4 linked regions of the Struthio camelus genome follow. The protein of the gene in region 1 binds, or shares a complex with, the protein of each later gene. Links are inferred from orthologs where the notes say so. Each region holds a gene or a part of one and is shown on either strand. Other genes may lie near its edges.

The links.
Region 2: SNW1 (region 1) and SNIP1 share a complex: the UniProt entries of both Homo sapiens proteins name them as parts of the SNARP complex. The link is inferred for Struthio camelus from reciprocal best matches to the Homo sapiens genes SNW1 and SNIP1.
Region 3: SNW1 (region 1) and RBM48 share a complex: the UniProt entries of both Homo sapiens proteins name them as parts of the minor spliceosome. The link is inferred for Struthio camelus from reciprocal best matches to the Homo sapiens genes SNW1 and RBM48.
Region 4: SNW1 (region 1) and SNRPG share a complex: the UniProt entries of both Homo sapiens proteins name them as parts of the minor spliceosome. The link is inferred for Struthio camelus from reciprocal best matches to the Homo sapiens genes SNW1 and SNRPG.

The regions. Positions count from the first base shown.
Region 1 is NC_090946.1:59,329,828-59,337,655, reverse strand, and holds the start of SNW1 (SNW domain-containing protein 1), read left to right. Parts: upstream 1-4,824; 5' UTR 4,825-4,904; coding exon 4,905-4,918; exon of another isoform or gene 4,919-5,172; intron 5,173-5,314; exon of another isoform or gene 5,315-5,331; intron 5,332-5,977; coding exon 5,978-6,131; intron 6,132-7,828. Other genes in the region: ADCK1 (aarF domain-containing protein kinase 1), read right to left, coding at 4,630-4,662. UniProt on the Homo sapiens protein: Involved in pre-mRNA splicing as component of the spliceosome. As a component of the minor spliceosome, involved in the splicing of U12-type introns in pre-mRNAs.
Region 2 is NC_090964.1:10,834,234-10,841,341, reverse strand, and holds the start of SNIP1 (smad nuclear-interacting protein 1), read left to right. Parts: upstream 1-4,097; coding exon 4,098-4,282; intron 4,283-4,373; coding exon 4,374-4,473; intron 4,474-5,133; coding exon 5,134-5,717; intron 5,718-6,343; coding exon 6,344-6,611; 3' UTR 6,612-7,108. Other genes in the region: DNALI1 (axonemal dynein light intermediate polypeptide 1), read right to left, coding at 228-263, 2,606-2,770, 3,044-3,222, 3,409-3,578, 3,654-3,865. UniProt on the Homo sapiens protein: Required for pre-mRNA splicing as component of the spliceosome. As a component of the minor spliceosome, involved in the splicing of U12-type introns in pre-mRNAs. Down-regulates NF-kappa-B signaling by competing with RELA for CREBBP/EP300 binding.
Region 3 is NC_090943.1:27,304,167-27,312,178, forward strand, and holds the start of RBM48 (RNA-binding protein 48), read left to right. Parts: upstream 1-4,994; 5' UTR 4,995-5,032; coding exon 5,033-5,143; intron 5,144-6,503; exon of another isoform or gene 6,504-6,622; intron 6,623-7,068; coding exon 7,069-7,259; intron 7,260-7,385; coding exon 7,386-7,531; intron 7,532-8,012. Other genes in the region: peroxisomal ATPase PEX1, read right to left, coding at 47-161, 406-489, 2,422-2,565, 4,555-4,683. UniProt on the Homo sapiens protein: As a component of the minor spliceosome, involved in the splicing of U12-type introns in pre-mRNAs.
Region 4 is NC_090968.1:3,162,680-3,169,045, reverse strand, and holds SNRPG (small nuclear ribonucleoprotein G), read left to right. Parts: upstream 1-4,325; 5' UTR 4,326-4,445; coding exon 4,446-4,477; intron 4,478-4,717; coding exon 4,718-4,740; intron 4,741-5,112; coding exon 5,113-5,237; intron 5,238-5,617; coding exon 5,618-5,668; 3' UTR 5,669-5,855; downstream 5,856-6,366. Other genes in the region: protein FAM136A, read left to right, coding at 1,012-1,098, 2,062-2,202, 2,275-2,463. UniProt on the Homo sapiens protein: Plays a role in pre-mRNA splicing as a core component of the spliceosomal U1, U2, U4 and U5 small nuclear ribonucleoproteins (snRNPs), the building blocks of the spliceosome.

The sequences.
Region 1 (7,828 bases):
CAAATAACACAAATTAAACCAGCCTCCCTTTCAGTCCTTCCAGATAATATAGGTATGGCTTGAAGAATTTAAAGATTTTTGCTGAAACACTAATAAACCTTCTGATCTTTTTTCCCCAGCTATAATTATTCCTTTTGAATGCTGCCTGTAACCCCTAAGGGAATGTGCAGTGCAGGGGTTGCTGATGTGGCTGAACCTTTCCACCTAGATAAATCTCTTCTTTCTCACTGTTTAGCATCTTACCTGTGGCATTATTTTTCCCCTGAGTTGAGGAATGCCATTTAATTCGATCATTTTTATCCCACAATGTGCAGTGACTGTCAGGCATACCAATATCTGATATCAACAATAGCTTATTTCATTACTTTGTATTTTCATCTTCATTTGTTACAAGATATTTCATGAAACATTTAACTCTGCATTTGCAAATGTGAAAAGTGCTGAGGTAGAGAAAAAAGGTGTCGAGGATTTAATAGCCTAAATCCACCCCAAAAGACTCCTGCAATGCAGCAGAAATATACACAAAAGTAAGTGTTTTCAAAGCCAATTGTGGTATTTCAAAGCCAATTGTGGTATTCGCATCAAATTAAGATGTCCCTGCTGGCAGCCACGCCAATATACCTTAGAGCCTCAGCTCCTTACTCACCATATGGAGGACCATTGTGGTGTACTTCTGAAAAGTGATGTATGTGGAGACCTTATAGCTTGCTGTCTAGTAATGTTAAGCAAAAAAGATCATGGTAAAAACAAAAAGGAACTCATCCTTCTTTCTTAGAGACTGGTTTATAGTTGGGGGAAACAGATCTAAGGATTTCAGAACCATTCCTTGCATAAATGTTTCTTGTTATGAGACCTCTGCTAGAGCTGCCATCTTTGAACAGTTACCAGGTCTGGTTCAAAAAAACTCCAGAACTAGGAGATCTGTGAAGACGTTCCTGAAACATGACGTTTCAACTGATTATTTCTATATTGGCTCTGAGAGTTCAGGCTGGCCTAAAGAAGACCTTGTAATGATGAAAATGTCTGTTCCCTAAAGACTTTCAGCTTTAACTAGAAGATAACACTAGACAGCACTAGAAGTGAGTACTTTCCATGCCGTTCCAAAGGTTAATCATTCTCATTGTTAAATATTTCTGCCTAATTTCTCATTTGAATTTCTGCAATTCCAGCCTCCAGTTACTGGTTCTTGTTATGCCTTTCTCTAACAGATTAGAGTACTTTCAGATCTTGTAGTTTTAACTTGTAAAAGTACATATGCATGATGATCAATCTCTTCTCAGTCTTTTTGTAATAAGCAAAACATACTAAAAGTTGTAATTTGCTTACTCAGAATCAATTCCCTTCTTAATGTAATTGACAATAAACACAGATAGATGGAGCTCACCCTCTCCTAATTTGGCGGTACAGCATTTACCTCTTAAGAGCTAACCACAAAACAAGTGCACTTATTGTATTTGCCCTACACTTCTAATTTATGCTAGCCTTAAGTTATCCCTGTAGTTTCCAACCCTCCTCAATTTTCAAGCACTATTTTAAAAATGTGGTCACCAGGACAATATATAGTGGCCCTAGAATTTGCTCTGCCCCTACTTAAACATCCCTGGGGCGCACTGGACTTTTTGTTACTTCATTGCACAACAAATTCATGTTGAGCTGCTTCTCTGACATGACCATTCTAGATCCTTTTCAGAAGCTCTCTTTTCCAGGATAGTACAGTCTGTACTTAACCCCTCATTTCTTACTTCCAGATAAAGAAGTTTGCACCATGCGATATTAAAACACATTTTGTCTGAATGGATCACATCTACCATGTAATCTAGTATGACTCTCCTCTCAGCGTTACTGAACATTTTGCCACTCTGTGAGAGAGCTAAAGACTTTTTGAAGTGATTTCGTATTGACTGCCAGATCGCTGATGAAAATGTTGACTCGTGTAAGTCCTAGTATCCCATCCTCAGAAATACCGTTATTCAGTGTTGATCCCCCACTGATGATCTTTTGCTTTTTGAAATGCCAGCCAGTTCTCCACCCATGTAGCATACATCTTCAAGTGTTGCACAGCGCTAAAAAATGTCGTGGTAGGCAGAAGTAATGGAAGGTGCACCAGATCAGGTCCAAGGACAACTGTACGAATTAATTTTTTTGGTCTTGTGGCTAACCCAATATATGAATTAAATCATTATCCCACTTCAAGAGAAAAATGAAAAAAAAATCCTGTTCTAAATGAAAAGAAGTTTTACTAGACTAGAAATTAAACATTCTGGTTTTAAGAATTTTCCTACTTTAAAAAATACAGTAGGCTAAACTTGGCCAACGTTGTTTTAAACCAGGGTTTAAATGTTTCATTTTGAAAAAGTTGAAAGAAAATATGTTGACTTTTCCAAACTTCCCTCATTTTTGAGTTCTAAACTTCTCAAGAATTTATTTTTGTTTATCCCAGCAAACATTTTTGACAAGTTAAATGTAAGCGTTTTCTAGGTTTGATATTCTGCATGTACCCCAGGACAGGGACAAGTAGTTACCCACAGCTGGATAAGCAGTAGGTGCCTAAAACAGACTGAGATACATTTACAAAGCCATACGGTCTGGAATAAGCTTGTGGAGCCCCTTCACACCATATGGTCCACTCTACCCAGCGTTAAGAGCCTTACATATTCACAAACTCTAAATTAGCCAACTCACACATCAAAAGTAAACCGCAAAATTGAACCGTAAAAATTATTCAACAGAACTGGTCTTACAGCCAGACAGCTATAAACATCTCCAAACACAAACAGCTTATTGTCTGCAAAGAGAGAGAAAAAAAAAAGAATAATTATAAGAACAAGCAAGCAGTGAGCGTGAGGAAACCAATGGAACATCTCTCAAGTGTTGGAGCTGAACCAGATTGCTCAGGTACAATTTTACCTTCTGAACAACAATTTTCTGTAGTGACTGTCATAAAAACTGTGTTGCAAAATAGTTCACAAACTTGTACAACTACCATACAGCATTAAATAAAACGTCACAGCAAAGGAAGGAGGAGAAACATAGCAGTAAGACAGAGAATAGACATTTTTTCAGTTGAGGCTAGTATCACAGTGGGAGATAGAGACAATGGCAACTTCATATGGTGACAGAATGCTCTTTAATCTGGGGGCAATACTGCTGGATGTGACAACAGCAATTCAGTTCCTAAACAAGTGAAGGAAATGGATACAAGAGATGACAGAGGAGCTTTGCTTAGCACAACTATTGATAAACAATATATGTCAAAATCTTGTATCTTTAGCTTTGTTTGATGTACTCAGAAGAGGACAGTTTTCTCCAAGAGAAGGGAAAATATGTCATTCATAGAGCTGATGACACAGCTGCTGTCAGCACAATGCAAACCCGAAGTCAGATTTCCACTGAAGTCAATGAGAATTTTGGCATAGAAGGACTACAACAGAACTGCCCTTACAATCCTCCAAATCTCACTCAGCCTAGAAATTCTAACAGATGAATTTAGTCTACAGGAGTTTTGTCTCTTTTATAGTCTTCCTGCCTCTTACTGCACGGAAAGTTTTTATTTATTTATTTGTAATAGGAATATGTTTGCTTCTTATACATTCTACCCTTTTCTTCTCTAGTCGGCTTGTGTGTCTCTTCTAGATGAACCATGCCAGGCAAAGTGGGCATGATCCTCACCATACTTCACAAGATGGTAACACAATAGTAGCAGTTATTAATCGGCAACTAAATTTATTGTCCTATATGGCACTAAATACTGCCACTTCAGCACTAGCGGCACCTTATCCGTTTAAAGCTCCATCTAGTCTCCAGTTACTACAACTTCCTGGCTAATATTTTTCCCTATTTCACATTTTAACTATATCCTAAAAACTACATCTCTTGAGGTGTTTTAGAAGCTTCATTTAAAAAAACACTATGTAACATTTGAACATACGCCCATTACATGTACACAGCATCTGACATTTAATGCAAAAGCTTTTATTTTAACTCAAGTTATTTATATACCAGTTTTCATCTCTCTCTCTCCTTTTTCTCTCATGTCCTACTCAGTGATGCCTAAGTACCAGATATCAGATCAAGAAATTCTATTGCAATGCCATTTGCACTGTATTTTCTACCTTTTACTAGGATACCTCATCCTTCAGCTGGATGAACCATTAAGTTACTGAAGTTGTTGGAAACTATATTTATAGACAGGATGTCTAAAAAAGGGGCCTTTGTACCAGGCTTCCCTCCTTTTTTTTCTTTGCAATTTCAACGAAGACAACTGTATCAAACCTGCTGAAGCAGCTTTTCTGGGATTGTGCCATTGCTGCTGGGTCCAACTCTTCTGTTTCAGTTTGCAGAGACCAGCAATGCCTTGGGAGGTATCGAAGGGGTAAAGATAGGCACTACGAGAGACACCGTCGACTGAGGCTGGGGGGATTTCATCAGACTGGGGCTGTCAGGTAGCAGATTTGCGCCTGGCATCGCACATCAGGTCCCAGGCCCCAATGTGGCTGCAGTGTTTAGTGACCCACACCAAGCCCAGCAGCGGCCTAGAGACCAGCGTGCACAGATGGAGATGTCCTCCACCATCCTGCACACTACAGGCTGGCCCTGAAAAAGAAAAAGGCCCTTACGGCCGCCCCGTACCTGGGAAAGACCGCTCAACCCGACCGCCGCCATGGCAGCCACACGACCCAACACGCCTCCGCGCCGGCGGCGGACTGCATCTCCCAGCAAGCACTGCGCCATGCGCGCATGCGCCTGGAGGCGGGGGACCCCGCCCCGCCTCCGATTGCGGAGCTCTGAGACTACAACTCCCAGCCGCAACTGGGTCGCGCGGCGCATGCGCAAGCGCGCTCCCCGCCCCCCCACCCCCACCCCCCACAGACGCTGGGCCCCGAGAAGACGACGAAGGCGGCAAGATGGCGCTCACCAGGTGGGTCCGGCGGGTTCGGTTTGCCCGGGTCGGGGGAACTGCTCTCTCTCCTGCCTGCGTACGGCTCCCCGGCCGCTGTGTGGGGCTCCGGCCGCCGCAGAGGGCCGCGCTCAGACCTCGCGCTGCCGGGCCGCGGGCTCCCTAGGCGCTGGGCCCGCCGGCCGACGAGGCCGCGCCGCGGTGGGTCGAGCGTCGCTGCTCCCTGGGGACGGCGAGGGCCAGGCCGGGGGAGGCGCAGGGGCCTGCCCCGTACTGGCGGGAGGGGGCGTTGGGCAGTGCGGGCACCGCCTTCTGGACGAGGGGGCTCCTGCCTCGCGTGCTTCTGCGGGAAGACGGAGCCCCCGGCCTCGGCTGGAGGTGATCGGATCGGTGCGATTTCTGTGGGGGTTTTCTCACCGTTAGTGAGGATGGGAGGGCCTTGTTACGAGCTGCTGCGTTTCTCTGACCGTCTTCAGGAGTGCGACTTCTGTGGGCTCAGGAGCGCCTTCCGTTTAGGAGGTAGATGCTTCCTTGAAGACATGTAAGAGGCCGTCTAGATGAGCTGAAAAGTAGGAAGTCAAGAATTCGGGGCTCAAGTTCTTGACTTTGGCTGGCAGGGGTTTAGTGCCAAGGGGGAGGATTGTCGATAGATCTCTCTGTGGACGTTCGCTTTGAGAGAAGAGAAGGGGGAGTCACTGAGACTAGGGGTGTATTTTCTTTTTTCTGATTGGTAGTAGTGGAAAAAAAAATACATAGTGGTCTGTCACACTCTTGTTAGAGAATGGTCACTGTCATGCTGCTGCTCAGGCAGGATGTGAATATGGGTGAATTTAACATCAGGTTCTATAGAAATCCTTCAGAACGTTGACAGAGCACGAATTGATTTTGCCCCTTTAAACTTGGAAGTTACTGCTCTGTGCTTCATGAGCACCATGCTCAAGTTTCGTGAATCTCTATTGATCAATGGTAGAGAGAAGAAGAATAGTCTAGTTACAGATTCAAGTGTCAGTTGAGTTTTGTTGAGTGAAATTCTCAAAATTAATTGTCTCTCTTTATTTTGGGCTATCTATGGATGTGCAGTTTTTTACCGGCTCCAACCCAGCTGTCTCAGGACCAGCTAGAACTAGAAGAAAGGGCGAGAGCGCAAAGATCGAGGCAAACTGCTCTAGTGTCATCACGAAGAGAACCTCCCCCGTATGGTTACCGGAAAGGATGGATACCACGGATGCTGGAGGTATATGCTTACAATCACACTGTAGTAGTGTGTCTCTGTTCATGAAAAAAAGTGTATTTTTTGGAGTAGAAATAAACTCTGAGCATCTTGAATGTAGCACAAAGAATTGTGTGAAGCCTTACCACATGGAGAACTTCCATCAAAGCTGATGGATATGTTCTTGAGTCAGGGGAAGTTGTTGTAATTAACTGTGTTACTTAAAAAGTTTTATGGTAAGCTGTATATTGTATGGGCTCTTCCCTTTAGAAATTATTATGCAGTAATGTGGAAATGGTTCCATGGCCATGTCGGTTTACAGTCTCTCAATGCAAGGATGCTCCAAGAAAGACATCTGTGTTTTCCCCTCATCGTTATTTGTTAAACACGTGATCTAGGTTATAGCTGGAATAAGGAAACAGATATATATATATATATATACACACACACACATATAAGAGAACAGACTACTTATGGGTATTCTGTTCTTATGGTAACACGAGGTAGCTGCTAGTGTGGAGGGAGAAACTCTTGTTGGAATTGAGAGGAAAACTTTAAAATTTGTCATTGTTAAAGTGTGTTACTGGCAGAAGGGTCTTGGATGGTAATCGTGGATGGTAATTAGCTGTGATCCCGGCCTGTTTTATGTGATTTCAACTGGAAGAGTTGAAAATTTGGATAGAAAATGCAAGTGTATAACTGAATACAAAAATCTTTTGGTGTGATTTGTCATTGCAGATTTGGAAAAAAAAAATTGCAGACAGTACTTGAAATGGTACTTAACACAATGTCTGAGACCTGTTACGATCAGCCATGAGCAAGTGTTCTTGGGACAAGGCATACTGTTCAGGTTTTGGTACAGTGTTTTGTGATCCAACCTTGTTCACAAATGCCATCATTTCATGAGCTAATAACAGCCTTACTTACATAAATACTTTACGTTTGGAACCATCTTTTTAAAGATGGATCCAACACAGTACTTTGGTGATCCATTAGCACTAAAAAAAGGTGACTTCAAATAGTTCCACTGCTCCTTTAAGACAAACTTCTTCTGTAAGCTCTGCATTTAATAATGTTAAGAGCTCTACATTCACTTAAACTTTCTGCCTACGCTACTTCTGATGTTAGCATATTATTCTCCAAGTGTTAGCTAAGAACTTCTTAAAAAACTAGGTCAAGGTTTTTAAACAATTTCCAGCATCACTGGGCCACAAAGTGATACAGATCTCAAAAGGGCTGTTAAGGACTCCCTTGTCCATCTAGATAAATACATATTCTTCAAGGGTAATAAATGTTTCTAAAGCATAACCTTGGTCCCATGATTCTGGGATGGCATCAATGGAAAAATCCATTCTTAGAAGATCTAGAGTACTTTGAAAAGTTCTGAGGAATGACTAACTTTTGTTCCATGTAGTATTTTAACATTGATTCTGTAACGACTTGTTGCATGTGGGACATCCGGTAGAAGACCTTCAGTAATTGGTCCTGTATTTCAGTGAGCACTTTAAGCTACCGTGAGCGTGTGCTGCTGTGGAGGGGTGTTCTGCCCACTTACTCCAGCTTCAGTCCGCTCTCTGTGTTGCACTGGCAAAACTACTTGTCCACATGGTGAATATGATGGAGGATCAACCTACTGAAAATGGAACCAATCTTTTTCATTGATCTGATTCACTGTCAGGCTCTGCAAAAGCTATGCCACTGCAGCCGAAAGAGGAGGAGAT
Region 2 (7,108 bases), on another chromosome or scaffold:
GCAGGTTATGTAGCATATTATCAACAGGTATGTCCCAGATAGGCTCACCATTCAAGGAGCTGAATGTTTAGACAGCACTGAAAGGGAGAATTAATACAACTACACTGCCTTCAGTTACTGGTAAGTGAAAATTCAGGGTTGTTTTATGAAGACAGATCTTTTTCACTAATTGCAAACTTCTTGCTTTGACAGTTCTTTTGAGCGCTGCCGGGAGGACAACAAGAAATCTACTTATTTGGTGCAATGATGCTTTCAAGTTGAGCCTGAAAACAAATGAGACAGTAAGTTAAATTAGCCTTAATCTAAAAAATAAACCCACATTGCTGAAAAGCGATAAATTGTCTGTTATGTATTCAAAGTGAGCAGCTGAGGGATGCTGCAATACTTCAAGAGAAATAGGCTAGGGTTTTTTCCTCTGGTTATTTCATTTCTTACTACATGTTTTATAAATTAACTTTTCATTCTTGGCATGCACACTTGTTGCCTTCTGAGAAGAAAAGAGCTGGCCTTGGTTCCATACAATGAAAGACTCATTTTATAATGTAAAGCATTGAAAAGGAAATTAAATAAAAGCTGTTGAAACAGTGGTCTGAGTTCTCTGATTTCAGGCTAGACTATGTTCGCTAAATTAAATGTTTGGCTCTTTACAGTCTGGAACACAAGCTCTGACTCTGGGACAAAAGGAACTGGGAACAGCAAGTTTTTCAGTTACTGAGACAACTTGATGCCCAATTAGTAGATTGATCAGCGAGCTACCAATGCTTAGGGAGTTTTTGGTATATGAAGCTTCTGGGACTTGCAGATTGTCCTCTTCATATTGCTGCCATCAAAATAAACTCCAGTTTTGGTGTGTGTGTGTGTGTGTGTATATATATATAATATATATATATATAGCTGTTAAAATATTTCTAGTTCAAAGAAGAATAACAGCTTCAGTGGCAACACGTCTTTAATCTAACAGTTATTCCACTTCATGTCCTAAACAGTTCAAGACGGCTTGAAGATGTTAATGGTTTAGACAAGAAAAACAGTAAGAATGTTAAAGATAAGGAAAGCAGCTGAGTGCAAAGTAAACTTCTAGACAGACAGGTTTAATGTTGTTTCTGATTACGTTTTTTCTTTAATCAAAAGCTGATTTTTTTTTCCCCCAACAGCAAAGAAATCTGTCTTTGTCAAACTGAAGGTGTCTTGGCTGCTGAGTAGTAGCATGCACAAAATTACTTCTGTCCTATGCAAATCAATTTCAGTGATCCAGTCAAGAGCACCATAGGACAAATTGCTTCACCATTGTCCATGGTAGCATGTTAGCAACCAACAGGTGAACAGGACACATACTTTTACCTACAATATAGTAATCACACTTTAAATGTTTAGAAGCTTAGAAACCCAGGCAATAGTGTGTGCTTGCCCTTAGGTTTTGCTATTGTCTGTAGCTCGGTTATGTGAGATGTAGATTGGAAGTTTTGAGGAAAATATGACAACAGTGCCACCAAGTTTCCCTGGGGGATTTGATCCTATGGCTAAATAGTTTTATTAGAAAAATGTATAAGAAGTTAAATCCATACTACAAATGCGCACTTGGTTCTCTTGTAACTATTCCAGACTGTACTAAAGTTCACGCTGTCTTTAGATTTGCAACAAATACATCTATTAAAGAGCTTCTCAAACACCTTTCGGGGGTGCCTCTGATCCCTAAATACAAAGAGTAGATCAGTAACTGATAATTCAACGTTTGTTTTCCAGGCCAGGTAGCGTAGTTAAAATCTGCTATAGTAGAGTCTGCCCACTGTATATGAAATAACTGACACCTTATGATGAGGACTAGCATCCGTAAGGGAAGAAAGAGAATGCTACTTCTCCCACAGAGATGAAAATAAAATAACCAAATACATGTTTTAAGGATGTAAGCCACAGATTAGTCTTGTGCCTTTTTTTTTTAGTTGACCTCTCTACCTAGGGTTGGAAAAGTGGTAACTTACCTTGTTTATAAATCAAGGAAAGTGGAATGTTAAATTACAATACATAAGCACAGGGCTTAGGCACCCTCTCAGTGATGCCTGAGCTTTTGGTAGTACAGTGTATCTCATGTAAGCTTTGAGGCAAGGATAAAAGAAAAAAGTCTCTGTTGCATATAATACACAATTGCTCTTATTAGGCAATGTTTAATTTTAAATGGTGTCTCTTCTTATCAGGGAGTAAACTTAGCTGCTCTGGCCAACAGCAAAGAAACAAAACTTTCTTCATTTGTCTTTATTAAGTTTTCTTTTTTGTAGCTGAAAAGGGATGGCAGCTACAACAACCTTAAAATCAAGTTATGCATAAATAGATTCCAGGGGCGTCAAATTTGAAGTCTATATTTGGGGTTCATCTGTGTGCGTCTGCTAACTGACCATAAGGATTTAGCATTATCAGAACAAACTGTGATATCCCTGTGGCAAATTTGTATATAACTAGAGCCCAATGAATCTGACCTGCTGTTTGGATGATCAGTTTTACTCATGATGACTAATTACTGACGGAGCAAGGAAGTAAAGTATGCAGAAGAGCATTTTTCCTATTTCACTGAGAATTCAAAGGTGGAACATGAATACAAATGCATCCTAACCTTCAGCTGCTGATTTGTTCGTTTCAGGAACTGGACCTCTTCACTGTGTTTCTTTTCCTCTATCTGTCGCCTTTCATTTTCACGTTTTTCAATAGCTTCACATTTAGCTTTCTGTTCAGTCACTTGCTTTTCCAGCTCCCGCTTTTCTTCCTCTAGCTCTGCAATCTTGGAAAAGAGTATAGATTGCTCAAATCGTGTTTGTTAATAAGCAATTTCCAATTAAGACAGGTTCAAGTTTTATGTTGTACAGTACAATAGGTAGAACAGATAAATTTATGGAGTACAATTAAGCCCTACAGTAAGGTAAGTATCTTGATGGTCTTTACTGCCATCCAGTGGAAGTAGAAATACCTGATTTTATATAAAATTTTGTACGTGAAATCGTTACGCTTTATCACATGCAGAAAGCTACCTTACGAGGTTGACAGCCCAACTCACTCTTTTCTCCATGTCAGATTTGCCTTGCTCAGCTTGCAGTGCCTTCCGCATGCCGAAGGCAACGCTGCTCTCATACAGAGTCTGATAAGCAGCAATCGTCATTTGGATTTCATCTCGGACTCGAAGCAGCAACAGCCCTCGCTCTGCACAGTTAATCGTCGTTTCGCGGATCAGTTCATCTTTAAACAACAGGCACAAAAGCACAGTTAAGGCAGTAGGTGCGTTGGCTTGGGGAGGCCGGCCCCCCGCGCCGGCCGCCGCTGGCTGCCCGGCAGCCGCAGAGCGCCACGGCTGGCTGTCGGCGGCGCGGCCGGGGCCGGGGCAGAGGGCGAGGCGGCGGCGGCGGCCGGCGCGGCGGCACTGACCGAAGCACTGCGCGTAGAGCTGGCGGCGCACGGGGCACAGGCCGGTCTCCCGCGCCTGCCGCTGCCGCAGCCGCAGGTCCAGCTGCTCCTGCAGGCGCACCACGTCGGCGCGGGTGCTGGGGGCGCCCGACACCTCCTGCACCCAGAGCCGGCCGTCCTCCGCCCACTCCCTGCACCGGAGAGCACGGCCGTCAGCGCCGCCGCCGCCGGGCCGCGCCCGCCCGCCGCCCCTCGCCGCCCCTCACCGCGGCGGCAGGATGGCGTTCAGCACCTCCCGCGCCGGCTCGGCGGCCGCGCCGGGCCGCGGCGGCGGCGGGCGGCCCCCGGTGGGCGGGCGCGGCGGCGGGGCGGGGGCGGAGGCGCCGCCGCCGTCCGCCCGGGGCCCGGGGCGCTCCGCCCGGCGGCTGACCAGCACCGGCGGGTCGTAGCGCAGCAGCGAGTCCGGCGGCGGGATCATGGCGGCCGCTCGCCGCGCGCGCCGCTGTCGCCATGGCGACGGCGCGTCGCGGCGGGGGGGGGGAGCGGGCGGGCGCGCTGCGCGTGCGCGGGAGCCCAGCAGGCTGCGCGCACGCGCAGGAGAAGGGCGGCGCGGCGCCGGCCTCCCCCCACCCGGCCCCGGCGGAAGTACTTCCGGGTGGCGGCGCGCGAGGCGGAAGCGGCCGCACTTCCCTTCGCGCGGCGGCGGCGCCATGGAGGCGGCGGCGGCCGAGCGGCGGCGGGAGCGGCGGCGGCGGGCGGCGGTGAAGGCCGAGAAGCGGAGCCCGCGGCGCTCCGGCTCCCGCTCCCGCTCCGCGCGGGGCAGCCAGTCGCCGCCGGCCGAGGAGCGGCGGGGCCCGGCCGGGCCGCACCGGGGCGGCAGGAGCAGGAGCAGCAGGTAGGGCCGCCCCGGCGGCGGCGTCGCGCCCGGGCCTCGGCCTCCCGCTTTGCTCCCGTGCCCTCACCCCCCCCCCCCACTGTCCTTAAAGGTCGCCCAAAAGGAAGGAGAAAGCGTCGGGCAGGAGAAGCAAGTCCCCCCGGAGCAGGAGGAGCCGGAGCCCCCATCACGTCGCAGTCAAAGTCAAGCAGGTAAATCGCCTCGGTGCTGCCGCCGGGGCCTGACCCTGCCGCGGGTCTGGGGGGCCAGCGCTCCCGGGGAGGCGATGCTAGGGCCCTGTGCGCTGCACTGCCTCCCGGAAAGAGAGAGAGAGAGAGTGAGCCTCCTCTGGCAAAATTCATCCGTGGAAGGCAGGAAAAATAGTTCCTGACTTACTTTCTTTTAGTTGTTGTCATGTCTAATTTAAAAAAAAGTTTTACAGGTTCAATATCTGTTGCTATCCACTTCAAACTCTGTCCTGAGCAATTGAGTGTTCATATGGGCGTGTTGTGAATTTACCACTTGTGCGGACTGTTCCTGCAAGCTGCTTGCTTTGCCCGGAATACTGTTGATATCTGAAAGTCAAGTACAAGCCCCTTTAGCTTTCAGTTGTCTCTTCAAGCATCTTATTCTGTGGAAGGATGGCAGGTCTGTCTCTCTTTTTTAAGCTTGTGTTACTCATTGTAATCGTGGGAATCCAAATAGTTCAGCAAGAAAATAGTTTTTTACTACTTTATGTTAGATCAATACACAAGACTTTTGAGTCCTTGTTTTTCATGTGTTAGATTGTGATTTTTTTTTTCTTTAAAGTAGATTCCTTTCTCTTTTCTTCTAATTCTAAATAGACCACTATAAGAGATTATTCATTACAGGAACGAGATGATCATTGTCACAGAGGAAATGAAGAACGAAAGCAGAGAAACCCATCAGAACAAGAACACAGGCGAGATAGAAGTGGTGAGAGAGAAAGACACAGAGATCACTCGGACAGAAGGAAAAATCCTAATGAAAGGCCTGGAGGCCGAGGCCACGAGCGAGAAAGGGATGTTCAGAACATTCGTGAGCAGCAAGCAGAGAGGGAGTTCTATAATGAGAGAAGACGAGAGCACCGACAAAAGAATGAAGTGAGTGGTATTAACCAGAATCCAGAACTCGGGCAATCTGATAATAAACCTAAAGATCCTGTAAAAAAAGAAAAGCCAAGTTTTGAACTGTCTGGTGCGCTTCTGGAAGATGCCAACACTTTCCGAGGTGTTGTGATTAAGTACAGCGAGCCCCCAGAAGCTCGGATACCAAAGAAACGATGGCGCCTCTATCCTTTTAAAAATGATGAGTTCCTTCCAGTCATGTACATTCACAGACAGAGCGCTTATCTCCTGGGCAGGCATCGCAGAATAGCAGATATTCCTATTGACCATCCCTCCTGCTCAAAGCAACATGCTGTCTTTCAGTATCGGTAAGTATTATTCTCTGTGCCTGCTGGTGAAACAGAAGTATTCTGAAACTTGTATTTATAAACAAACAAACAAAAAAACCCCAAAACAGAGTTTAGAAGTGTTAGTTTGCTGTAAGTGTCTCATGTCAGAGATAGCTGGAATTCACATATGGCTGCTGTACGTTCTCTTAGCAGTAATCAAAAATACTTGAAACTTCTCCCATTTAACCACAAGCAGTCTTCCTGTAAGACAAATAACATAGCAGGACTAAATGCAGAATTGGATGTATATCTGAATTGGAATAAACGCTCTCAGGTGTAATTAGCGGTAAAAATATTTTGCAACCAAGATTGCTGCTATCCTTTTGAAGCAGCAAGGATTGTATGCTGCTGAAGACAGAGCTGCTCTCAAGGAACAGCCATCTGTTCGGTGTTACAAATTACTGTATTATATCACCATAAGTTTTAGAAGGTGATGCAGTCTTTCAGAATCTCATCCCGAGTGCCTCCTTACACTCATTATGCTTGCTTAAATTTTTGAAAATACAGAACGTTTTGAAAACTCCATCTACTTCTAGAGTGGCTGCATAAATGGGAATTTTGTGTCTGTCTTGTTATGATTGAAATAGTGCTTTTTGTTTTGCCAGGCTTGTGGAGTACACCCGTGCTGATGGTACAGTTGGCCGCAGAGTAAGGCCTTATATAATTGACCTTGGTTCTGGCAATGGTACTTTTCTAAATAACCAGCGGATTGAACCTCAACGTTACTATGAACTGAAAGAAAAGGATGTGTTGAAATTTGGGTTCAGTAGCAGGGAATATGTTCTTCTCCATGAATCTTCAGATAAATCTGAGGCAAACACAAAGGACGATGATGAGGAGGAGGACGAGAAGGAGGAAGAGTCTGACAGTTAACAGATCAGGAGGAAATTGGGGGGGTGAAAAAAAATCTTTGCAGTAGAACGTGCATTGGGATGTAAACATTGGCGCATCGAAGCACTGATGCCTCTTATTGCCTTAAAGTCCTTCTTCTGTTGCTGGTCTGTTCTTGTAGCTTATTTTGGGGACTTAATCATCTTGGATAGTTCTGCTTATCAGGAAATTCAGCTTTTTCTAAGCTAATTTCCCCTGACAAAGAAAAAAGAGCACCTGGATGTGAAAGCTGTGGTGCTGGAAATATTCAACAGATGTTGGAAGGCTATCCCCTTCTAGTAAATGATGTAAAACACAGTGGGCATATTTAAAATTATTTTTATGAACTGTTTTGTCATAATCCTTTGAAAATGCTACTTAACTGAAAAATAAGGTAGAAACTAGCTGATATATTTTGTCTTATTTGGTAGGATTTGCCGAATTTGTATGCCTGTTAAGAAATCTAGACAGGAGAATTTACCAAGTTTCATTACTAAAGA
Region 3 (8,012 bases), on another chromosome or scaffold:
AAAACAGCTCTCTGAAAGCACCTCAAAAGCCTTCATCGTTGCTTACCAATTCTGATGTAAACGTGAGTATGCTGTTCAACCCATACAGGGAAGATGGCTTTTGGAAATACTATTCGAATTTGGTCAAGAAGGTGTTTTTCAAGAGAGGAGGCGTGCAGTTCCTATGAAAATTTACTATCATTAGAAATAAAATCCTTCATAAATATTTAAGATTTGTTTGAGGATAAAAACTCTATGTCTCTTTCTAATATACCATCTGAAAGACAAAATACTATGAAAAACCCACCACATTTATTGCTTCCTTCGGGGAGGTAAAGGACAGCGATTGTGCTGAAAACTACATATACCTGACATCTTTGTCATCTGTAAGGAAGAGGACGTGAAAAACAAAAAGAGTTTTCTTACCAGTATTTCCCAATCATCTGCTGAGAGTGGTTCCACTTCTACTTGCTGACAGGAAGAGACATGAGAACAGGGTTCAAGGAATACCTGACAAATGTAAAACCATTTTGAAGTATTTAACTCCTTGCTTTTAATAAATAAAAATCCATCTTTAATTCAGCCAGACAACAGACATCTCCGTTATGCTTTCATTACTCTGAATATACGCTATCTTAATGGCACTAGCTAAGCTTATTAGCAGAAGATGAAATTTCAGTGCATTGGAAATGGATTGCATTGGGTATGCTTGGCGCTTTGATGCACCATGAACATAAGTGAATGAGAAGTGCATCAGGAACTGTATCAGCTGATATAAAACAATCCATTTTAAAGCATTTTGATCACACAAGCTTCTTTGGATTTTTATTATTTTTTAAAAAAAGGTTCCGCACTCTAGGAAAATTCATCCAATTGTGCACAAATTTACATAAGGCAGAAATAGCTGAAGAAATGGAAGAGGAAAAAATACAAAACAATAACAACAGCAAAAAACACACACACAATGAAACCAAACCAAGTTCTTCAATGAGTGGGTTCACAGGAAGCATCCCCACTTCCACATAACAGCTTTAAGGTCCTGTGTACCAGGAAGAATTATAGAAGCTGTTGTGGCTTAGGGAAAATACATCTTTTCAAGAGTCTTAAATATATATTTCAAGAGTTAATTTTACCAAAGGTTCATTATTTCAGAAAATAACAATTTTCAAACAATATAAGGCCATACATTTTTAAATAAACTCAAATAAACTTCTTCTGAGATAAAACTATCTCTAGTTACCTGTCCTCTGAGACATATTTGTTACTTTTATAAAAACTGATCTGAAATAATTGATTTTAAATTCCTGTGGGTCCTCAAGTTTGAAGCAAAAGGTGTGAGGAAATACCTTTTCCCAAATGTGGTAAACAGAAGAGCATATAACTATGAAACACAGCAAACATGTACTTTGAGGTCAAAAAGGTGGTGAAACTACTTAATCGTTCATGATGTATAGATGATTATTTCCCGACAACAGCTACGTAAGGTTTTACTCAAACTTCTTTTGTCGATTTATTTATTTTTTTCTGTTGAAGGCTATTAATTGTTAGAACAGAAAAGGCCACTTACCTTGCCACTGAACTAGTAAATCTAGTAAAAAAGTAAACATGCTAATGTAATACACTGCTTCAAGCCATGTCCTCTGATGTGGTTTATTTTGTTGAATAAGATTTTCTACATAATAGAATACGCATATATGAATATATGACACAGTAATATCGTGCAGAACAGTACTTTTCTACTCCTGTTGATTTAACTCTTCACCTATTAAGATAAAAGAATCTTGGATGCTGAAATGTTAAGAGTCCCATGACGCATATCTTTGGCTGTCTCCTGGGCATCTATCCAACTTCTCTACACTAAGAGAATCATTTAAAGAAGTTGTTGAACACACTGTCCAAGAGTAAGAAAACAGTAGGCCAATTTAAATAAATATTCAAAGAAAGAGGACATGGGGCTATAGGGTGAAGGGAGAATAAGAGGGTGACAATTCAAATCCAATATAAGTCAAATAAGAAGAAATACAGAGCAAGTCAATAATTATTTAACAATGACAGGAACTCCAGGCAGAATATTTTAATGAAAGAATTCCCAACTTATTTAACTGCAAATTATGTTTTCCTAAAAATAACGTCACTGCAGAGAGTGGCTCCAACCCTGCAAAAACCTACCCACAAGCCTATCCTTACATCATTTAGGTAATTGTAATGATTTTATGAACAAATCTTTTCATGGTTGAGACATGCTTCATGAAGGTGAACTTTTTCCATCAGACAGATATTAACAAAGTAACTTGGAGATGAGTGCACACGAAACAAGATGCCAGTTGATAGTTAGCTTGTAAACCATTATCTCTTCAGGGATCTTGTGCTATACATTCCATGTTTAAAAAAAAAAGGCGGGGGGGGGGGAAGAGAGAGCGATCGCGAGATTGCATTTCAAACCTGTTCTCCATCGGTAATGCCAAGTTTCTCTGCTAATTGTCTGTTAATCTCTGCAATATTTTCACCCTGGTGACCTCGATGCCTGATTTCCATCCAGCTCAAAAATATAGGCTGATGACCGCCGGAAACTTTCACAGCTTGGCCCTATTAGTTTCAGAGAAATAGAATAAATTAGTATCAAACAACTTAAATAAAATGACTCTTATTGAAACTAAAGCTTATATTTGATTAGAGAGCTGAAAGAAATTCAAAATAATTTATGGATTTTACCTGCCCAATTTTAATGAATATTCCAAAACTGTAATACACAATGTTTATAGTGTTTCTATTAATGATAATGGAAAATTTTTGGCTCTGGTGGACTGCTCAACTTCATCATCAAGACTTTCCTCAGAATTCTTCTCCGTGTTAGCTATCTGCACAGCTTCCAACACAGAATTTCTTGTTGGTTTCAATGTTTAAACAGCTTTCAATTTTTATAGTCGATTTTAAGTATATCTTCTTCCCCTTTTTCTGCATGATAATCTACCAACCAAATATCCCATAGAAATGTATAACTACACATTTTTATCTCTCATATGGGGGGAAAAAAACATACGTATATGATTAAGTTTCACATGCACTTTAATATATTCAGTACAGACTCTAAGAGTGCTTTCATGAGTTGGAAAATATTTTTAAAAAAATGTTATACTGACTTTGCTCAGACTACTATACGAATAAGTAAGCCCTAGCTACAGGATGAAACTGTAAGACTGTAAAGAAATTGCACTCCTTGTTTCTATCTCCTGAAGGCAGATTTGTAGCAAAAACGAAGCTAACATTTACACTGAATTTTTTGTAACAGGAACCTGTTCATCCCCACAGTTTACCAATGCCCCTTTAATCTCTCTTTTAGCACTCTGAAGGAAAAATAGTAACTTCTTACAAATCTAGATAATTTTGCTGTTGTGATACGTCTTTCTTGACCTCAGGAAATTAGCATGATGTTATGGGCTATTCCATAAATCTCCATGTGATTATTTGTCAAGTTAGCACATTCCAGTCTGCAGAAGGTATAAGAGGATTGCACGTTCCTGCTCCATTCTCAAACTCCATTCTGATTTTCTCCTTTTCTCCTGCTCCTTCTTATGGTGTCTTTTTTCTGCATACGTGATCTGTTCTGTTAACAATTTTTAAATTATTGACTTCTTTACCTGGCACAATGGATGCTCACAGGCCTTGCTAGTGTTTTCCTGTGTGAGATGTTAATAAAAACATAAGGGACGCTTCCTGCAACTGATTCGCATACCTCCTATCATCCAAAGCCCTATTAAGTATTTCTGTACAGAACTACACAGCAAAACATATATTTAGGTACACCAAGAACTATGATTCTGCACAGATTTAACATCTTAGCTACTACTTGAAAGATCCAATTTACATGTTATTCAGTTAATGCTGGTGCATGGATTACTGCCAAAAGAAAGGTATAAAAATAGGCAGTGCTGAGAGAAAAGTAGATGACAACATGCAGGTGGTGTAAGACTAAGTTCAGAGATAACGAAGTCCCACCTTTTTTTGTTTTAGCAAGGAGAACGCATGACAACACGGTCAGAAACCTTGGCACGACGCTGTGAACCGTCCAGACACGCTGACGGCAGGCAGCGGCCCGACTGGACGGCAGCGGTACGAAGCGTAAGTTACGCGCTTCTACGGGAAGCCACAGGGCTGACTGACTTTAAACACTGCCTCCCACACCCCTGATCTTGTCCGTACGAGGGGGGCAGCAACAGCCCGCGGGCAGCGGGGGGCGGGGAAGGCCGCGGGCGGCCCCCGGCGGCGCTGGGGCTGGGGCAGCGGCAGGCCGGGGGGGGGGGGGGGGGGCGGGGCTTCCCGCTGCCTCTCCGGGAAGGGCTCCAACCACCTGGGGGAAGGGGGAGGCGCGCGCGCGCCTTGTCACCATGGCGACAACACAGCTTGTAGGGGAGAGGTGACGTCAGCAGTGATGGGGACCGGGGGAGGGGGAGGGGGAGGGAGACTGCGTATCGCCATGGCAACGGGATGCCGGGAGGGAGGAGAGGTTGCTCTCCCACAATCCTCCCCGCCCCAGGAGTCCCTTCGCCCAGGCCCCGAGCGGAGCCTAGCCGGTACCTGCTGCAGGCGAAGGTGAGAGGCCAGCACGGGAGGCAGGTGCAGGAAGCAGTCCCGGCTCCCGCTGAGGACCACTGTCACCGCGGCGACTCCAGCTCCGCCTCCCCCAGGGTTGCCGCTGCCCCACATCCTGGCGGGCGGGCAGCCGGGCGCCACCGCCGCCGGGCGCCCGCTCCGCCCTAGCGCTCCGTGAGGAGGGCGGGCAGCCTAGGCCTCCCCGAGATCCCTCCCCCCCCCCCCGGGGCAATAGTATGACCCACGGCCAGCCAATGGGAGCGCGGCATATACTCATTCCCTTTTTCTGATTGGTTGCTCTATCGAGGGCTTCAGCTTGTTCTGTCTGGCTTCCGTATGCCGTCGAGCTCCACCTAGTCGGAGCCAATGAGAGTAAGGCAGTTGTTCTGTCCGTTGCCTCATTGGCTACTCTCTCGGGCAGCGGCTAGAGCGACCTCCGTGGGGCGCAGTGACCGACGGGAAGATGGCGGCGGCCGGCAGCGCCCTGGGCGATGCTTGCCGGCATCACGCGCAGTTGGGGGCCTGCGAGTCGCGCGCCAAGTACCGCGAGGGGCGGAGGCCGCGCGCCGTGAAGGTGAGGCGGCCGCGGGCCCGGCCGTGCGAGCGGGCCGTCCGCGCTCCCCCGGGGCGGCTGCGGCCGCGGCCGCCTCGGAGCGGGCGCTGCGCCGGCGGGTCCGGCCGTGCGGCGCGGCGCGGCGCGGCGGCCGCGGCTGCAGGCGCGGCTGCTGTGGGGGGAGGGCGGGCCTGCGTCCCGTGAGCTCGTCGGCAGGAGCGCCCCGACCTCGCGGGCTGTGCTTGTGTCGCTTCTTGGTGCTTGTCTCCGTTCAGGGCTTTTCTGCGGTTCGTCTCCTCCGCCGTGTTGCTGCGGCGCATCGTGTGCCGGCTCCGGTAGGGTTGAAGGCGGGCGTAGCGTGAGGCGCTCCCCTGACAGAAGTCGGCCTGCCTTCTCACCTGTCGGCCGAGAGGAAGCGGCTCTTTCAAAGTCAGCAGGAACTTTGCTGAGCTTTGGAGAACTTTACTTCCAGTTCTTGAGACATACCGTCTACTTTGGCAGTTACCGCATCCTGATGGCCCTCTGCCGTGCTCGTTCAGTGTCCTGCGCTGTGCCTGGAGCGCACAGCTGTGCAGCATGAGTAGCCCCTGCCCTGAAGGGTTTGCAGCCTTAGCGTGTTTCCTTTTTATGCACAAAAGCAGTAGGCACTAGCAGGAACTGGTGGATGTGAGTCCAGTAAATCTAGTAACCTCAAAACTGTACCTTGTAAATTAATTGGTTAGAAATGCATGTGGCACAAGTAGTCCAGTCTTAGGCAAAACATAAAAATACAAAAATGATTAAGTGGAGTGTAAAGAGACTTCTGCAGCTGAATGCTGCAGTTATTAGCTAACAGAGTTGGGTACGCAATGTCATTGAACTCAATAGGGCTTAGATGCACAAGGCTGTTCTTGTATTTATGTAGTCACACGCATCTGCTCCTGGTAAGATTCAGGGAAGGGCACACATTATAGTTGAAATTTCTCATTACACTGGGCTGGAGAAGGCTGCATTTGCTTTTTGCGTGTGTAGTTAACATACTGTGTGCAGTATAGGTATGTTTTAGGGCTGACTTGGGAAGGAGAACGGCTAGGAATAAGCTGTTGTCAACGAGAACAATTTTTGCACGCTATTTGGAGAGGGTACCTTTTTATGACGGTGGTTTGAGAGCTGATTTCCTGACTGGTTCCCTCTGGTCCTGCATTTGCTGGCTTTTGAGAAGGATGTGCATCTCATGCAGTCTAAATGTTTTTGAATGAATTCATGTATATTTTTTAAATCTTACAGTAACCAACCTGCTCTACGTAGACTGAGCTGTCAGAGCTTCCCTTGGATTTTTCTTCCTGTGTTGTTCTGCTACAGTCATTATGCAAAGTAGAAAGGAATTTCTGCTAACCTGCCAGGGAAAACATTGCTGCTCTCAGCATCTGATTTACGTATCTGTCTCTCAAAAATGTATCTTGTTTGATCACTGCAGCAGAGGCAGCTCTGTACACACATGATGTGCCCAAAGGGATCAAAGTATTTTCTGCCTGCTTTGCCTCTCTGCCTTGTGATCGGTAAAGATTTTACAGGATTTGTTCTTTATTTTGACAGTGCCTCATACTAATTGGCTACGATTCAGTCTTGCAAGGAAATCTAGGGACTTGAAGTACTGCTGTTTGCTGAATAAAACTTATGACCTGGTGGAGAAAGTGCCGACTCTAATTTGCATTCTACTTTTGAGTAACAGGAATGAGTTCAGTCCCTCTCAGTGATGGAGAAGTCCCAGAAAACTCTGCACTTACCTTTTTGCTAAGGTCCTGGCTTACTGCTACTGCCAAAATCTAAATAGAGCGCAGAGGATTTTCAGTGTTCTGAGAGGATTTGAGGAGCAACAGACAACGTACAGGAAATTCCTGGAATTGTTACTTTTGCACTAAAGTAAGAATATAAACACTTTAAAATACTGTGTTCTGTTCTTTCAGGTTTACACTATCAACTTGGAATCTCGTTACTTACTAATACAAGGAGTTCCTGCGTTAGGTGTCATGAAGGAATTAGTTGAACAATTTGCATTATATGGTGCCATTGATGAGTATCATGCTCTAGATGAATATCCAGCAGAGCAGTTTACCGAGGTTTATCTTATAAAATTCCAAAAACTGCCATGTGCAAGGTACCGTATAGGGCAGTATCTGCCTTCTTCTTACTCTTTTACACCCTAGTTGTTTGTAATCTGTTAAGATTCCAGACAGTTGAAGTGCTAGTCTTGGTTTTGCTAATACAGTTTAATTTCCTTCAGGGTGGCCAAGAAAAAAATGGACGAACGAAGTTTCTTTGGTAGCTTGCTGCATGTGTGCTATGCTCCAGAATTTGAAACAGTCCAAGAAACGAGGGAGAAGTTGCAGGATAGAAGAAAGTATATAGCAAAAGCAACAAATCAGAGAGGTTTGTAATTAGATTTCCTATAGATCTAACATATCGTTTCAGTGGTGGGTGGGTTAGAAGTGCCCACAATAAAACAAAATATTTTGTGTTTAACTGTTTTAAAGATTCATTTTAAATAAGCTAGCAGCAGAACAGGGACATCTTTCAACATTTAGAGGGCTGTATATTTTTGAAACAATTTTTAGTCTTTGGTTGATACAAAAATAAAAAAAATGCACAAGTTTTAATACTTCATTGTTTCCTTCCCTTTCCATTTTCTACTCTAAACGTTATCAGAAATTTCCAGCACTGATCAAGAAATTGGAAGTCATCTTTTCACCCTTGTTCCAGCTTATTCAGGCAGACCAAAAGGGAAAAAGTATTGTAAGGGGACCACACCCAGAGGCTTTTAACAAAACTTCTCTAGGCCATGCGTTGGCATTGGAGGAATGCTGAAAATGGACTGGGTTTACAGGCAGTGGGGCTGCAACACAGCAGAGTT
Region 4 (6,366 bases), on another chromosome or scaffold:
AATAAAAATAAGCGGGCGGGCGCGCCACGATCCCGCACGTCGGCCAGCGGGGAGCGACCGCGGCGGCGCCGGCGCGAAGCCCCCGCGCCCCGGCATGCCGGCGGTCCCGGCCGCCCGCGGTGCTATTTGCAGGTGTTTGGGGTTGGGTTTTTTTTGGAGTCCGGCGGGAGGGGCGGCCAGGCCGCAGGAGCCACGGGGCGGCCGGCACGTGCCGCCACGCAGCCCCGCTCGCCGGGGCACTCGGGGTGCTGGGCCCCGGCACCGGGTGCTGAGGCCGAGCCGGCCCCGCACGTGGCCTCTGTCTGGGACCAGGCAGGTAAATCCAGGCTGGAAGCTGCAGCAACCGGAGGGGCAGCGGGTGCCCCCCATGCCGGGGCCTGCAAAGGGGCAGCAGGGGCAGGTGCCGGGGCACGAGAGCTGCCACGGGGTGCGACGCAAGGTGCTGGCGCATCTGGGATATCTGGGATGCAACATCCTGGCCAAACCGGGGTGCAAGAGCCCGGCAGATCCGGGATGCAACATCCTGGCCAAACCGGGGTGCGAGAGCCCAGGAGATCCGGGATGCAACATCCCGGCCAAACCAGGGTGCAAGATCCCGGCCAAACCGGGGTGCAAGAGCCCGGCAGATCTGGGATGCAACATCCTGGCCAAATCGGGGTGCAAGATCCCGGCCAAACCGGGGTGCAAGAGCCCGGCAGATCCGGGATGCAACATCCTGGCCAAACCAGGGTGCAAGAGCCCGGCGGATCCGGGATGCAACATCCTGGCCAAACCGGGGTGCAAGAGCCCGGCAGATCCGGGATGCAACATCCCGGCCAAACCGGGGTGCAAGAGCCCGGCGGATCCGGGATGCAACATCCCGGCCAAACCAGGGTGCAAGAGGCCGGCTGGGGCGGTGCCGGCGGTGCTCGGCGCTGCACGGCCGGCGGGTGGCGACGGCGCTGGGCGCTGCGCGGGGGGGCCCGGGCCGGGGGCGGTGCTGACCCGGGAAGCGGATGGGCCGGGCCGGGCATGGCGGAGGCGGCGCAGGGCCGGGTGCAGGCGGCGGTGGAGAGCATGGTGCAGGGGCTGGAGCGGGACAGCATCCGCGGCCTGCAGGTACCGGCGGCGCCCGCGGCGGCAGCTCTGCGCGGCCCCGGCCCGCGCCCCCTGCGCCCCCCCCACCCCCGCCAGCGCGGCCCTGGGCACCCCCGGGCGAGCACACCCCGGGCACACTCCGTGCAGCCTCTGTGCAAGCACCGTGCACGCTCCACGTGTGCCTGTGCACACCCCGTGCACACCCTGGGCAAGCACCGTGTGTGCCTGTGCACACCCTGGGCAGCCCCCGTGCATGCTCCATGTGTGCCTGTGCACACCCTGGGCAGCCCCTGTGCATGCTCCATGTGTGCCTGTGCACATCCTATGCACAGACAGCCTGTGCAGCGCCTGTGCACGCTCCATGCGTGCCTGTGCACACCCTGTGCACGCACACCCTGTGCAGCGCCTGTGCACGCTCCATGCGTGCCTGTGCACACCCTGTGCACGCACACCCTGTGCAGCGCCTGTGCACGCTCCATGCGTGCCTGTGCACACCCTGTGCACGCACACCCTGTGCAGCGCCTGTGCACGCTCCATGCGTGCCTGTGCACACCCTGTGCACGCACACCCTGTGCAGCCCCTGTGCACGCTCCATGCATTCCTGTGCACACACAACCTGTGCAGCGCCTGTGCACGCTCCATGCGTGCCTGTGCACACCCTGTGCACGCACCCCCTGTGCAGCCCCTGTGCACGCTCCATGCATTCCTGTGCACACACAGCCTGTGCAGCGCCTGTGCACGCTCCATGCGTGCCTGTGCACCCCCTGTGCAGCCCCTGTGCACGCTCCATGCATTCCTGTGCACACCCTGTGCACACACCCCCTGTGCAAGCTGCACACGCCTCCCTGCACACCCGGTGCAGCCCTGCGGCAGCAGGAGGGCAGCAGCTTGCAGAGGCCGGCTGGCCCTGCCGGCTCGCTGCGCGCTCATGGCAGGGGCGGCGCAGGGCACTCGCGCAGGGCACTGACGGCCCCGGCTCCGCAGGGCGCCATGTTCCGGTGCAGCGCGCGGTGCTGCGAGAGCAGCGCGGCCTCCATGCAGCAGGTGCAGCAGTGCATCGAGCGGTGCCACGCGCCCCTGGCGCAGGCGCAGGCCATCGTCACCGGCGAGCTGGAGCGCTTCCAGGTGAGGGTGGCGGCGGGGGCGGCGCGGCGGCAGGCGGCACGGCGCGGCGCTCACAGCCCTGTCCCCGCGCAGGACCGCCTGGGCCGCTGCACGCTGCACTGCAACGACAAGGCGCGGGACGCGCTGGAGGCAGGTGGCCCCGAGGCGCGGGCGCGCGCCCAGCTCGACGCCTGCGTGGCCGCCTGCGGGGACGAGCACCTGCGCCTCCTGCCCGCCATGGCCCGCAGGATGAAGGAGAGCCTGGCCGCCCTCGAGCAGTAGCGGGGGGCCGGGCCGCGGCCCCGCGTTTATTAAAGGCGAGGTGCAGAGCTGGGCCCCAGCGGCGCCGTGGTGGCGGGGGGGGCCGCAGCGGGTGGCGCTCTGGGTGCTGGCAGCAGGGAGCCCCTGGTGCCCGTGCCGAACGGCCGGCGGTCGCTGGCTCGGCATGCCCGGGGCAACCGCTGCCCGTGCGCAGGGCGCGGGGTGACACCGGCGTGAGTGCGTGTGCAGTGCAGGGTGATCCCTGGGGGCGTGCAAGGTGCAAGGTTATCCCTGGGAGTGTGCAGGGTGCAAGGTGATCCCTGGGGGCGTGCAAGGTGCAGGGTGATCCCTGGGAGTGTGCAGGGTGCAAGGTGATCCCTGGGGGCGTGCAAGGTGCAAGGTTATCCCTGGGGGTGTGCAGGGTGCAAGGTTATCCCTGGGCGGGTGCAGGGTGCGGGGTGATCCCTGGGGGTGTGCAGGGTGCAAGGCGATCCCTGGGCAGGTGCACGGTGCGGGGTGATCCCTGGGCAGGTGCAGGGTGCGGGGTGATCCCTGGGGGTGTGCAGGGTGTGGGATGATCCCTGGGGGCGTGCAGGGTGCAGGCTGATCCCTGGGGGTGTGCAAGGCATGGGGTGACCCAGGCACATGTGCAGGGTGCGGGCTGATCCCCGGGGGTGTGCAGGGTGCAGGCTGATCCCCGGGGGTGTGCACGGTGCAGGATGATCCCCGGGGGTGTGCAGGGTGCAGGCTGATCCCCGGGGGTGTGCAAGGCATGGGGTGACCCAGGCACATGTGCAGGGTGCGGGGTGATCCCCGGGGGTGTGCAGGGTGCGGGCTGATCCCCGGGGGTGTGCACGGTGCGGGGTGATCCCCGGGGGTGTGCAGGGTGCAGGCTGATCCCCGGGGGTGTGCAAGGCATGGGGTGACCCAGGCACATGTGCACGGTGCGGGCTGATCCCGGGGGGTGTGCAGGGTGCGGGCTGATCCCCAGGGGTGTGCACGGTGCGGGCTGATCCCCGGGGGTGCGCAGGGTGCAGGCTGATCCCCGGGAGTGTGCAGGGTGCAGGCTGATCCCCGGGGGTGTGCAAGGCATGGGGTGACCCAGGCACATGTGCACGGTGCGGGCTGATCCCCGGGGGTGTGCAAGGCATGGGGTGACCCAGGCACATGTGCACGGTGCGGGCTGATCCCCGGGGGTGTGCAAGGCATGGGGTGACCCAGGCACATGTGCACGGTGCGGGCTGATCCCGGGGGGTGTGCAGGGTGCGGGCTGATCCCCGGGGGTGTGCAAGGCATGGGGTGACCCAGGCACATGTGCACGGTGCGGGCTGATCCCCGGGGGTGTGCAGGGTGCGGGCTGATCCCCGGGAGTGTGCAGGGTGCGGGCTGATCCCCGGGGGTGTGCAAGGCATGGGGTGACCCAGGCACATGTGCACGGTGCGGGCTGATCCCCGGGGGTGTGCACGGTGCGGGCTGATCCCGGCGGCGTGCACGGTGCCCCCCGTACGTGTGCCCGGCGGGCGGCGCTGCTGGTGCCGCTGCACGGAGCGGCGCGCGCGGCCGCGTGGGGAGCCCAGCGGCGCCGGGAGCACGTGGCGCCCTCTCTAGCCGTATTGACCCGCGTATCCGCGCATCCTCCCCCGGTTCCCCAAGCCGGTGCCGCCGTCGCCTCCGGGGACGGCCGGCCGCAGGAGCCCTCCGGTGTCCTGCTACTTCTGCCCCTCCGCCAGCGTGTCCCCGCCGGGCCTCCTGCGGCGCTTGGTGCCGCAGCTGCTGCGCCTCTGCTCGGGGGAATGCGGTAACCGCTCGGCAACGGGGGAAGGAGGGGAGTGTCGCCTTCCGGGGAGGCGCGAGGGGCGGCGGGGCGGGGAGAAGGGGGAGGCGCGGCCGCTATTGGCTGGCGAGCGGGTCACGCGGGGCGGGTGGAGGGGGCGGCGCGGTGACGTCAGGCGGCGCGCGCCGAGCGGCAGAGCGGACGGTGGCCCCGGCGCTGAGGAGACGCCATGAGCAAAGCGCACCCGCCCGAGCTGAAGAAGTAGGTACCGGCCCCGGGCGGGGGGGGGGCGCGGGAAGGCGGAGGGGGAGGGAGGTGGAACTGTGAGTGGGGGACGGGGGGGGGGGGTGATGTGGGGGGGCGGCGGCGGTTACCTGCCCGAGCGACCGTTATTCTCCAACCGCCGCTCTCCCGGCATGCATTGCGCGGGGTGGGGGTGGGGGGCGTCATGGCGGCGGGCCGCCCGCGCCGCGCTGACCGGCGCCCGCCGTGTCGTTGCAGGTTCATGGACAAGAAGCTGTCACGTGAGTCCCGGGCTCCGGGGGGCGGCGGGGCGGGGGGGGCAGGTTAACGGCAGCGGGCGTCCTCGATCTCTTTTATGCCCCCAAATCGGTGTGTGTGTGTGTATATATATATATATATATATATATATATATATATAATATATATTTAAGATTGCTACCTTGCATTATCTCTCACCCTCTCGCTTCTTACGCTCCCTTTCTTACACTGGCAGCGTTAAGTGAGGGTGCGATGCTCTTCGTGCTTGTGATTGAACCCCCCCCCCAACTCTTATTATGACAGCACGCTCTTTCTGAGCTACTGTCCTGAGCAAAACCACCTCAGATGCCGCAGTTCGGTGGTCCCGTCCTTCACGCTTACTGGATTTCTTTCAGTGAAGTTAAACGGTGGCCGACACGTCCAGGGGATATTGCGAGGGTTTGATCCCTTCATGAATCTAGTCATAGATGAGTGTGTGGAGATGGCACCAGGAGGACAGCAGAACAACATAGGGATGGTGGTAAGTACTAGTTTGGATTGTCAGGGCTGAAACAAGTAACAGGTACCTGGTCTGTCACCGCCCTGCAAAGACAGCTAATATATGTATTTAAAGGAGCTGAGTTCTAAGAAGTTGATGTACTTGCTGTAAGGAAAATGTAATGTAAACTGCCTGTGAAGTGATGTATTTGCACACAACAATCCATTGTGTTTTAGAGTTAAAATTAGTTGTAGTTTTCCTTTGTAGGGAAATGCATTTTAATTTCAACTTTGGAGCAGCATCTACTGTGCAGTCTTCTAGGAGGACAAATTTGGATGGGGCAGGGGGGAATCTGCAGTGTTACAGAGCTGTGTTTACCGATGGGCTTCATCTCACTGGCTGCTGTGAACTTTTCTTTTTAGGTAATACGAGGAAACAGCATCATTATGTTAGAAGCCTTGGAACGAGTATAGAACCAGTGAAACCCGCTTAGTGACAGTGTGTGCAACATGTGGGATGACCCCTGTGTGTGTGCAGCATGTTGGGCTGTGATGGGACCTAACTCTACTATTTTGTGTACTCAGTTAAATCCTCTACAAACCATACATCACTTGTGTAAACTTATTTTTTGTTAAATAAATTTTGTAATGGTTGAAGTAACTTGAGTGAGTTGTACCTGTTGTTATGCTGCTAGCGCAACAGATTTATTATTATTTGATAGCCTTAAAACTCTGAAAAACTTCCGGGGGCTTGCTTTCTTCAAGCGGGTGGAAAATAGGCTTGTCCTTGCAGCAGGTGACACGCACAGTTTCACAATATTGGCATTAATTTTGGTCCTGTATTCCTCTGCCCTCTTGTGGCAAGCAGGCTATTAGGCTTCTTTTACACTATCAGTGTAGTGGCAAGGGCTGGAGCATTTGTCTTATTAAAATATTTGTGACAGCAACTTGACTACGATCTGCAACCCCGATGTGAGGTATTGCTATTTTGGGTTATTTCAGTTGCCCCGTGCAGTGCAAGGGGTAGAGTAGACTGAGCAAAGCATGGGGCTCTGTAGTACTGGTACACTTGTAGAAGGTTTAAAGCATTCAAACAAGACTAGAGCTTATGGCGAGTCTAGTAATAGCGCCACACATAATTTAGACATTAAGTGCTGCAAAAGGAGCACTAA